Nothobranchius furzeri: one gene and its partner. The main gene of each other region encodes a partner of the protein of the gene in region 2 in a complex. Links are inferred from orthologs where the notes say so. Each region holds a gene or a part of one and is shown on either strand. Other genes may lie near its edges.

What was found.
Region 1: the proteins of stx12 (region 2) and vti1a are in contact, whole or in part, in a crystal structure (PDB 2NPS), measured with the Rattus norvegicus proteins. The link is inferred for Nothobranchius furzeri from reciprocal best matches to the Homo sapiens genes STX12 and VTI1A. Residues at the interface, in NP_075228.2 of Rattus norvegicus: Glu185, Ile188, Gln189, Leu191, Glu192, Ile195, Leu196, Val198, Asn199, Phe202, Lys203, Leu205, Ala206, Ile209, His210, Gly213, Ile216, Asp217, Glu220, Val223, Glu224, Ser226, Glu227, Val230, Glu231, Ala233, Ser234, Asp235, Leu237, Gln238; in XP_038945999.1 of Rattus norvegicus: Arg131, Arg134, Ser135, Arg138, Leu139, Ala141, Gly142, Ile145, Ala146, Glu148, Thr149, Ile152, Gly153, Met156, Asn159, Leu160, Asp163, Arg166, Arg169, Ala170, Arg173, Leu174, Glu176, Thr177, Asn180, Leu181, Lys183, Ser184, Ile187, Leu188.

What each region holds. Positions count from the first base shown.
Region 1 is NC_091756.1:39,753,623-39,757,994, reverse strand, and holds the start of vti1a (vesicle transport through interaction with t-SNAREs homolog 1A), read left to right. Parts: upstream 1-1,483; 5' UTR 1,484-1,643; coding exon 1,644-1,737; intron 1,738-4,372. Other genes in the region: palmitoyltransferase ZDHHC6, read right to left, coding at 1-257. UniProt on the Homo sapiens protein: V-SNARE that mediates vesicle transport pathways through interactions with t-SNAREs on the target membrane. These interactions are proposed to mediate aspects of the specificity of vesicle trafficking and to promote fusion of the lipid bilayers.
Region 2 is NC_091751.1:25,527,537-25,531,628, forward strand, and holds the start of stx12 (syntaxin-12), read right to left. Parts: upstream 2,884-4,092; 5' UTR 2,762-2,883; intron 2,687-2,761; exon of another isoform or gene 2,559-2,686; intron 2,219-2,558; 5' UTR 2,178-2,218; coding exon 2,084-2,177; intron 1-2,083. UniProt on the Homo sapiens protein: SNARE promoting fusion of transport vesicles with target membranes. Together with SNARE STX6, promotes movement of vesicles from endosomes to the cell membrane, and may therefore function in the endocytic recycling pathway.

The sequences.
Region 1 (4,372 bases), on a different chromosome or scaffold from region 2:
CCCAGAGGAATGTATCCAGGTCCAACAAACATAGCATTAAAGTAGTTGTAGAGAATGAGCACAGTCCAGTTGATGAGCATGATGAAGTTAATGCTTCCTCCTGTGGTGTCTAGCGGCCAGTACCAAATGATGGAGTCTATTATTGCCATGGTTGAGCAAATAGCTATGACAGACAAAGCTATGATTGGACCCCAGTGGCACAATCTTCGAACCTCATGAAGGTTCTCGAATGTCACAATGGTTGACAGGAAATTCATTTTCTCACATGAAGATTAGTTCAGTTTTCTACTTTTCTGAGATGTATTGACCCACGTTGGATGTGCTACGCGCTTCCTCTGCTACCTTGTGCTGTTAACGGTGCACACAATGCACATAATTCATCTCTTCTACCGAGTACCCAGCAAGCGTCCTGGCCTTGAGTAACTTGGGCTCCCTGTGTCCCATTAATCCATGACCCGGTGAAGACCAGCATCGTCTCCTGCCAACACCCGAAGCACACTATCCTCGTGAGAAACTAAAGTTCCCCATCTGTTAGACAGAAATAAAATAATAATTAAAAAAAAAAACATTAACATAGTTGTTTAAAGTGCAAGTGTGTAAATGTAAAGTACTTTGGAGGCAAGCATGCATATAAGAATTATTCTTCCCCGGAAAAATAAAAAAATCAGCTTAGACTTGAGAGATGCAGCATCCTTCAGTAGATCATATCTTGTTTGATTCATAATTTATGCAGAATTTCTCTCATTTTCTATCGTAGCAAATCTTTTCCTCTTCTGTTGATGGTAATACTGTCACTAAACATGAGGAACTTTTCTTTTCCACTTTACTAAATGCAACAAGTATCTATCTGGTTTTAAATTAAACAAAATAAAATATTTAAATGAGTATCCAACCTCACACCATTAGCACCTGCACATTGACTATTAATTAGCTTCTGTTACCAAGCTAGCTAATTTGACACAGTGATATAAACATGGCGACTCTTTAGTCAGCATTTCTGTCAGCTAGTATAACTCGACCAATCAGGATCGGATATATTTTGTAGATGTGTGATTATCAGAGTGCCTACTCGGTTAATAAATATATAAAAATAGATATTCGGTCTTTGGATCTAGTGGCAGCAGTTAGCGAACTAACGTTAGTTAGCCAGCTTGCCAACACGACTAACCTCTAAAGCATTATTGTTACCCTAAAACGCAAAGATGACACGCGGATATGAAGCTATTATTAATATTATTAAAGATAAGTGTTTGATTTAAATTTGTGAGAGGCGAAAAAACTGTCACTTTAAATTACCAACCTAGTCACTTCCTTGTCTTTTGCCGTAGATTTTCTCCGGTGGACGAACTAGGAACCTTTCTCGCCGTGCTTCAGAAGCCAAAATCCCTAAACTATTACAGATACGTTTAAATGCAAACAATTAAATTGTCAATTTTTAAAAAATAATATTACGAAAAACTCGAATGGAGAGGTAAACGCATTCGGCACGTATCGAACTAGTACTATCAAACAAATCCTCTAGTTTCTCGTCGAGCTGTTTTCAGTGCAACTACAGGAAGAGACTCCATTCGGGGATTGTTGTTATTATTCTGAGGTAACCGACAGTCAGATAGCTAATACTCATTTTAAACTCGTTCGACAGAATGTCTTCTGACTTCGAAGCCTACGAACAGGACTTTGGAACAGTCACCGCAGAAATAACTAACAAAATCGGCAAAATTCCTAAACTAAGTGGAGGTAAGACAGTTGAACTTACTATTATTAATCGGTGAGATGCTAGCTAGCATTAGCCATCAAGTCTCAGCTGAGAGGGGTAGCTAATGGTAGCAGGAGATGTGATGCATTTGCAATACATTCCCAACGTTACGCAATTATTGAGTTCTAGATATTTATACGACACCGTGGACATCACTGGCAGATTGTGAGTTTGTAGTTTAGCATGTGATAATTTAGCTCTCAAGTATTTTTTCTGGTTTAACGTTTGTTCCAAGTTGTTCTGTAATCCAGCAAAATAATTCAAACTGAGTATACACGTGTCAGGAATTTATACTTGATATAAGCATAACATCTTGGCAGCTGGCTGATTTTATTGCATGAAGATTTACTTTATTTTGAAGAGTTTGTTGTTGTGTTCAGTCAGACTTCTGTCAGTAGTGGTTCACAGAAAGATAGTTAAACTCCTCTTAAACACGACAGACAGGGAGTCAGCTTTACAGAACGTTTCAAATATGCTTTTGGTCTAAGGAGCTTTGAAAGAAAAGCGTCTGGACTTCTTTGAGTTGCTTGAAGATGTTTCACCTCTCATCCGAGAGGCTTCTTCAGTTCTAAGGTCAAATGGTGGAGAGTCCCAGATTCAAACCCAGTGGGAGTTTCCCCCGAAGAGGGAACAAAAGACCCCCTGATGATCTTCTACATAAACACATGAGCCCAGGTGTGAGGGTGGGTGTGGGTCAGTGTTGCCAGATCCAAAATCCCACAATATTGTACAGAGAGGCCTAAATTATCGTTTTTCAGTACAAATTATCGTACATTATAAATTTGATAATAACGTTCTATAAACGACTTCTCATTCCAATATAATATGACAAAGAAGGTGTTTTATATAACCTTACAGTTTCTCGCGAGAGTAGGCCCTATCGATGTGATTGGGCTATTTATTGTACAGATCCAGAGTCAGTTTTTGTAATAGACAAACAGCCAGAGTTTCGGGTGAGCTCATTGTGAAGCCTGGCCCCACCCTATCATGTGAATTCCTGAGGTCAGATGGCCCAGGATATGCGTGGGCATTGAGGCATCTGGGAAGAGATCTCAGAACTGGATTATAGATGGCAGACAGTTGGTGTCGTAAACCACTGCCTCTGTTCAAAGATGGTTGCTCACAGTGGACATAAATGGCTTCCTTTACTCCTCTTTCAAACCATCTGTCCTCTCTGTCCAAAATGTGAACGTTGGCATCCTCGAAAGAGTGACCTTTGTCCTTTAGATGCAAATGAACTGCTGAGTCCTGTCCCGTGGAGGTGGCTCTTCTATGTTGTGCCATGCGCTTGTGAAGTGGCTGTTTGGTTTCTCTGATGTAGAGGTCTGGGCATTCCTCGCTGCACTGTACAGCATACACCACATTGTTCAGTTTGTGTTTAGGAGTTTTGTCTTTCGGGTGAACCAGTTTCTGTCTGAGTGTGTTGCTGGGTCTGAAGTACACCGGTATGTTGTTTTTGGAGAAAACCCTCCTGAGTTTCTCTGATACACCGGCTACATAGGGGTTGACAAGGTTGTTGCGTCTGTCTTTCTTATCCTCCCTCGCTGGTGTCTGGTCTTCTTTTCTGTGCATCTTTGCTGACTTTATCAATGCCCAATTAGGATAGCCACATGTTTTAAGTGATTCCTTTATATGTGTGTGTTCCTTCTTTTTCCCTTCCGGCTTAGAGGGAACATGTTCTGCCTGGTGGTGTAGGGTCTTGATTACTCCAAGTTTGTGTTCCAGAGGGTGATGTGAGTTGAAGAGGAGGTACTGGTCCGTGTGTGTGGGCTTCCGCTACACTTCAATGTTGAGGTTGCCATTTTCTTCAAAGTGCACAGGAAAGGCAAGCAGTTGTCCTTTATGTTTTCCCTGGTGAACTTGATATTTTTGTCCACGGCGTTGATGTGCGTAGTGAAGGATTCCACTTCTTGTGTTTTGATTTTGACCCAGGTGTCATCCGCATATCTGTACCAGTGGCTGGGTGCTCTCCCTTTAAAAGAGATTTGCTACAGACAAAAACATGGCTGCGCCATGGGCTCCCCCGTGTCACCTATTGTAGCCAACCTTTACTTGGAGGAAGTGGAAAGAAAGGCTCTTGGCTCTACTGGACCAGCTGGATGCAACATCACCAGTGCAACGTACCATGGCAATGTTTCCGGCTTCAGAGACGACCATGTTTCTTTCAATTATATAGGTTTTTTAATCTCTACAATATATTTACAGCTCTACTGTGTTACAATGTTATTAAGAGGCATAAAAACAATGTTTTAAGTAAATTTGTTTTACAAATTTGCCTTTCCTGCTTTATCATTGCCTCATTATACCTACAATGTTGCACAGCCTTTCAGTGTAGAGTTAGCATGTTCTCATGCATGTGTGGGTAGGTACTGCACTTTCCTCCCACGGATCAAAATCGTGCAGGTTAAGTAGAGGCTAAATTATCCCTACGGGTGAGTGTGTGACTGTGTGTCCCTGTGATGGACTGGGTACCTGTCCAGAGTTTTCCTTGCCTCTCATCTGATGACTTCATTAGTTAGACACCATCTCCATGACTCTACTGAGGAAAAGAGATTTAAATAAGTGTGTTTTTATTATTTGGTTTCATTTACATTTATTGAAGTTATCCACAGTTGT
Region 2 (4,092 bases):
AAAACAATTAGGTGTTAACAAACAAGAATTTATTAACAAAACTGCTGATGTCTTTCCAAAACGTATGTGTGAAAGCCGAGTAGATTTGCAGTAATGTGACGTCATCGGCAGTCGAAGGACCCCGAGCCGATCCTGTACCGACACCGTGTCCTCTACATCTGGATTTTTCTTCCAATCAGATTTCAGCCTCTATTGATGCCAGGGAGAGTCCAATCTGCCCAAAGCGTTCAGAATCAGTAGAACGGGCCTTTGTTAGTTATACCATATAGTAGTGGTAGAGTGATTTATCGCCCAATGCCAATATACAGTATCTCCTTAGTAAAGCAGATTTAAAGTCAGGCACATCCTCAGGCAGCCTGGTGCTGCTGCAGAGTTATGTTCCTGAGTAACTTCTGCATAACAAATAATTTTGTTTGATTCACTTGAGTTAGATGTCTGATTTTAACACTGAGCCGTGCACAAAATTAAGGTTTAACAGTTGGTTAAATTACAAGTTCAAAAACTGATTTAGCTTCAGAAATTTTGTGTATCAACTGATGTCTAGATATCGGCCATCAGCTGACCATTAGCTCTGCTTATCGGCATCAGTAATAGAAAATCCAACATTGGTTAACCTCTACTATGGGATCTGGTTTTTTTAACCAGTGAGCTTTCAGAATCACATCGCTGAGCCAGGTAGTTGGCTCACGGTGACATCAGGGGTTTTTTGTCCTCCGATTGGTCCGACGGTCTGAGAGAAGCTATCTCTACCAAGTGTCGCTAGCAAAACACATTCTTGTGAGCCATGCACATTAATACTTTTGATGTTACTTATTTTTTATGCCCACAATGGCTGATGGAACGGGATGAATGGATTTGGTCTCAGGAAGTATTCCATTTTCAAGTCGTACTTTCTCAGAAAAGCTGGACATGCTAGCCCGCTGACGGAACTAAAACACAGAAATCAGCTTTATATCACTTAGGTTTTCCTGCAAAAAGTGAGAAGTAGGGGTGCACCGATTGCAGTTTTTGGCCAATCACCGATCTTGAGAAAAACCTGACTTGCCGATATCGATTTTGTCTTAACGAAAAGCAAATTATATCAATGTTTCAATTTCCTGTCATTGAGAAAACCAATACAATACTCATTAAACAATACCAGTTTCAACTGGACATGAGGTAATGTTCTCAAATGTAAATTAACATATTTAGCATTGTTGTTTGAACTACAAAATCATATTTGTTCCTTTAAGCCAGGCGGGCACTGTGCGACTCTTTCACTTTTTTGAGCCGATTTTCCCCTCGTGCGAGAATCTACAAGATCGGGGCAAGTTTTGTGCAGAGCGTCGTGTAGTATACAGGTGGTTACGAGAGGCAATTAACACCACGTGACCAGCTACCTATCAGCAATCGTGAGCTCGCACTGATTTCTGGCATGTTTGATATTTTGCTCGTCCCTCGTGAGGGTTGAAGCAGCGCTGCGAGTGGCTGCAACCCAAAAAGTACCAAAACCGCTCACGGCGCATGCGTCATGCGTCAGCACGGCTTGCCAGCTATTTCTCTATTAACACATGTCGTTTGTTTTTATTTCTACACTGTTTTTCACACACAATGACAAGAAAGCATGTTTGCCATGTTTATGTCAAATTAAACAGTTCACAAAACACTGATTTACTTTCTTTCTTTCATTATCCTCATCCAACCCCCATAAATCCCTGTGTGTACTCCTGCAGCACTCCAGAGGGACAACAGACATCAGTAACAACACAAAAAAAAATTCCCCTCATAATTATTAGTAATTGTTAATAATAATTAAGTGACACCACACCCTGTTACATACTCACTCCCCCCTTATTATTAAATAATTTTGTTGTAAAACGAGAAACTGATCATTCATCAAGAGACCTGCTGTTCACACCTCTGAAGAAATAACATTAAAGAAGCCAAAAAGACTGAAGTGCGACCCTGGAGAGATGATGATCAGTGGATAATACCGTGGGGATAACAAACAGGCTATAAAGCTCATTCACATGGTCATCACGTGACCATGTGGCATGTGATTTCCCACCAGGCTGAAGCGCGAGGAACAGGAGAAACCTCTTACTGTTCTGTGTGATCTTCTGGATGTTTGAGCTGCAGGACTGGATGAGAAAGCTGAAGTCCATGTGAACCGGGCGGAACTCCGCTTTTCCGTACATGTTTGCGACTGTTAGGAGCTTCCTGACACGTTAAACTGGAACTGCAAAAGAAAATGGAACAATAAACATTGCATTATTGAACGATTTGGCTTAACGACATAATGGTTTAAGTAAGTTTTAAGGGTCTAAAGATTTAAACTCGTTTCCCTTTTTGACTCTGTCACGCGTATGAATGACGTTTGATTATTTCAGTAATGAGCTCAAAGGTCCAATCAAGTCAGATTATCACTTATTTATCACCGCTAAGCAGTTAAACTAAATGTAAATGTAAACAAATGTCCGAACACCGAGTTAGCGAACAGACCAGTTTGCTGTTTAAACGCCTTTAAATTAACCCCATAATTAATCAATAACAATAAGGAACGGAACACTTCAACAAACCGTCGTATCTGTTTAGCTCAGCTAGCGTTGTGTTGGTAGAACGGAGAAGCTAAACCTTCGTTTTAGGCTAACGGTGGCGAACTTGTCTACTTTCGTCTTTTTACAGTAAAAACTGCTCGTAAACTGGACACGCAGAGCGTGGTCAATTAAAACAAAGACGAAATTCTACATTAAAACAAGGCATCATGCTGTAATTTGCTTACTAATGTATTGAAATCGATACATGGGCGTAGATGACTCGTCCTCCGTTAGGTTGATGCTATATTGCATTAGCGCTAAGACCTCACAGACCAACACACCCTAACAACCAATACCAGGATGCTACTTCAACAGCTCAACCAATCACAATGCAGCGTCCCACCCATTTTATCACGGCCTCCAATCATAGGTCAGAGAGCCAAACCTACTTCCTGGTCCGTGGTGTTTTTTTAATTTATTAATTTTTTTTACAGGTTTTATTCAGAAAACACATTCAATAAATCCATGGATCACATTTTACAGTTGTTTAGAATTGCAATAATATACATGCAACATTAGGAAACTATTAAACAAAAAACCAAGAAATAAAAAAAACTGACGAAAACATATATAACTTAGAAACATAACACTTAGGGGTCTGCTGTGTCTAAGTTGAAATGATGAAATAAGTTGATGGTCTTTGTTAGTTTGTTGTTCTTCATTTTTAATTTTTCAATGCTGTTCCAATATTTCATAAGGTCTGTAATTCTGAAATTATAGAAGGGGATACTTTTCTGAAAAATCATTTTATGTAAATAATATTTTGCTAAAATAATGACTAAGTTAATTATGTATTTTTCATTGGATGATAAATGAGGGTTAGTAACAATAAGAAGTATTTCATATTTGCTTAAAGAAATATTTTTTTTGTAACTTTTTGGAAATGTATCTTTTTAAATGGAACCAAAACAAAGTTACATGAAAGCAATCAACAAAAACATGTTCAATAGTTTCTCCCTTACAACCACAGAAAGTACATATGTCAGAAACATTTGGAAAAAAATACAGATGTTTGCTTTTGACGGGTAATATCTATGAACAATTTTGAATCAAATTTCTTTTATCTTATTCACAATAACATATTGGTGAGGTAGCAGAAAGATCCTGTTCCAGAGTTTTGTATTCATAAAAGTCCATCAGTGTTTACATATCGGGGTTGAGACAGGATCAATTACTTTTCTAATAACAGAATTATTAAATTTCTTATCTGTGATTGGAATCCCAGAAATAGTTGGAGGTCTGGCTGTTGCAGATAAGATGATGTTTGATTGTATGGTCTGTGTTAAATAGAAAATACAAACATAGATGGATTTAATTACCATGTTATACTCTTCTTGTGAAGTATTAATGTTATATTTTTCTAAGAAGACTTTGTGGGATAATGTTTCGCCATTAGTATTTAGTAGATTATTCACAGTGTTTACATTGGGGCAGCAGTAGCTCAACAGAGCGGGTTGTCCAGTAATCGGAAGGTTGCAGGTTCGATCCCGGCTCCGGACAGAGAACTCTGCTGTTG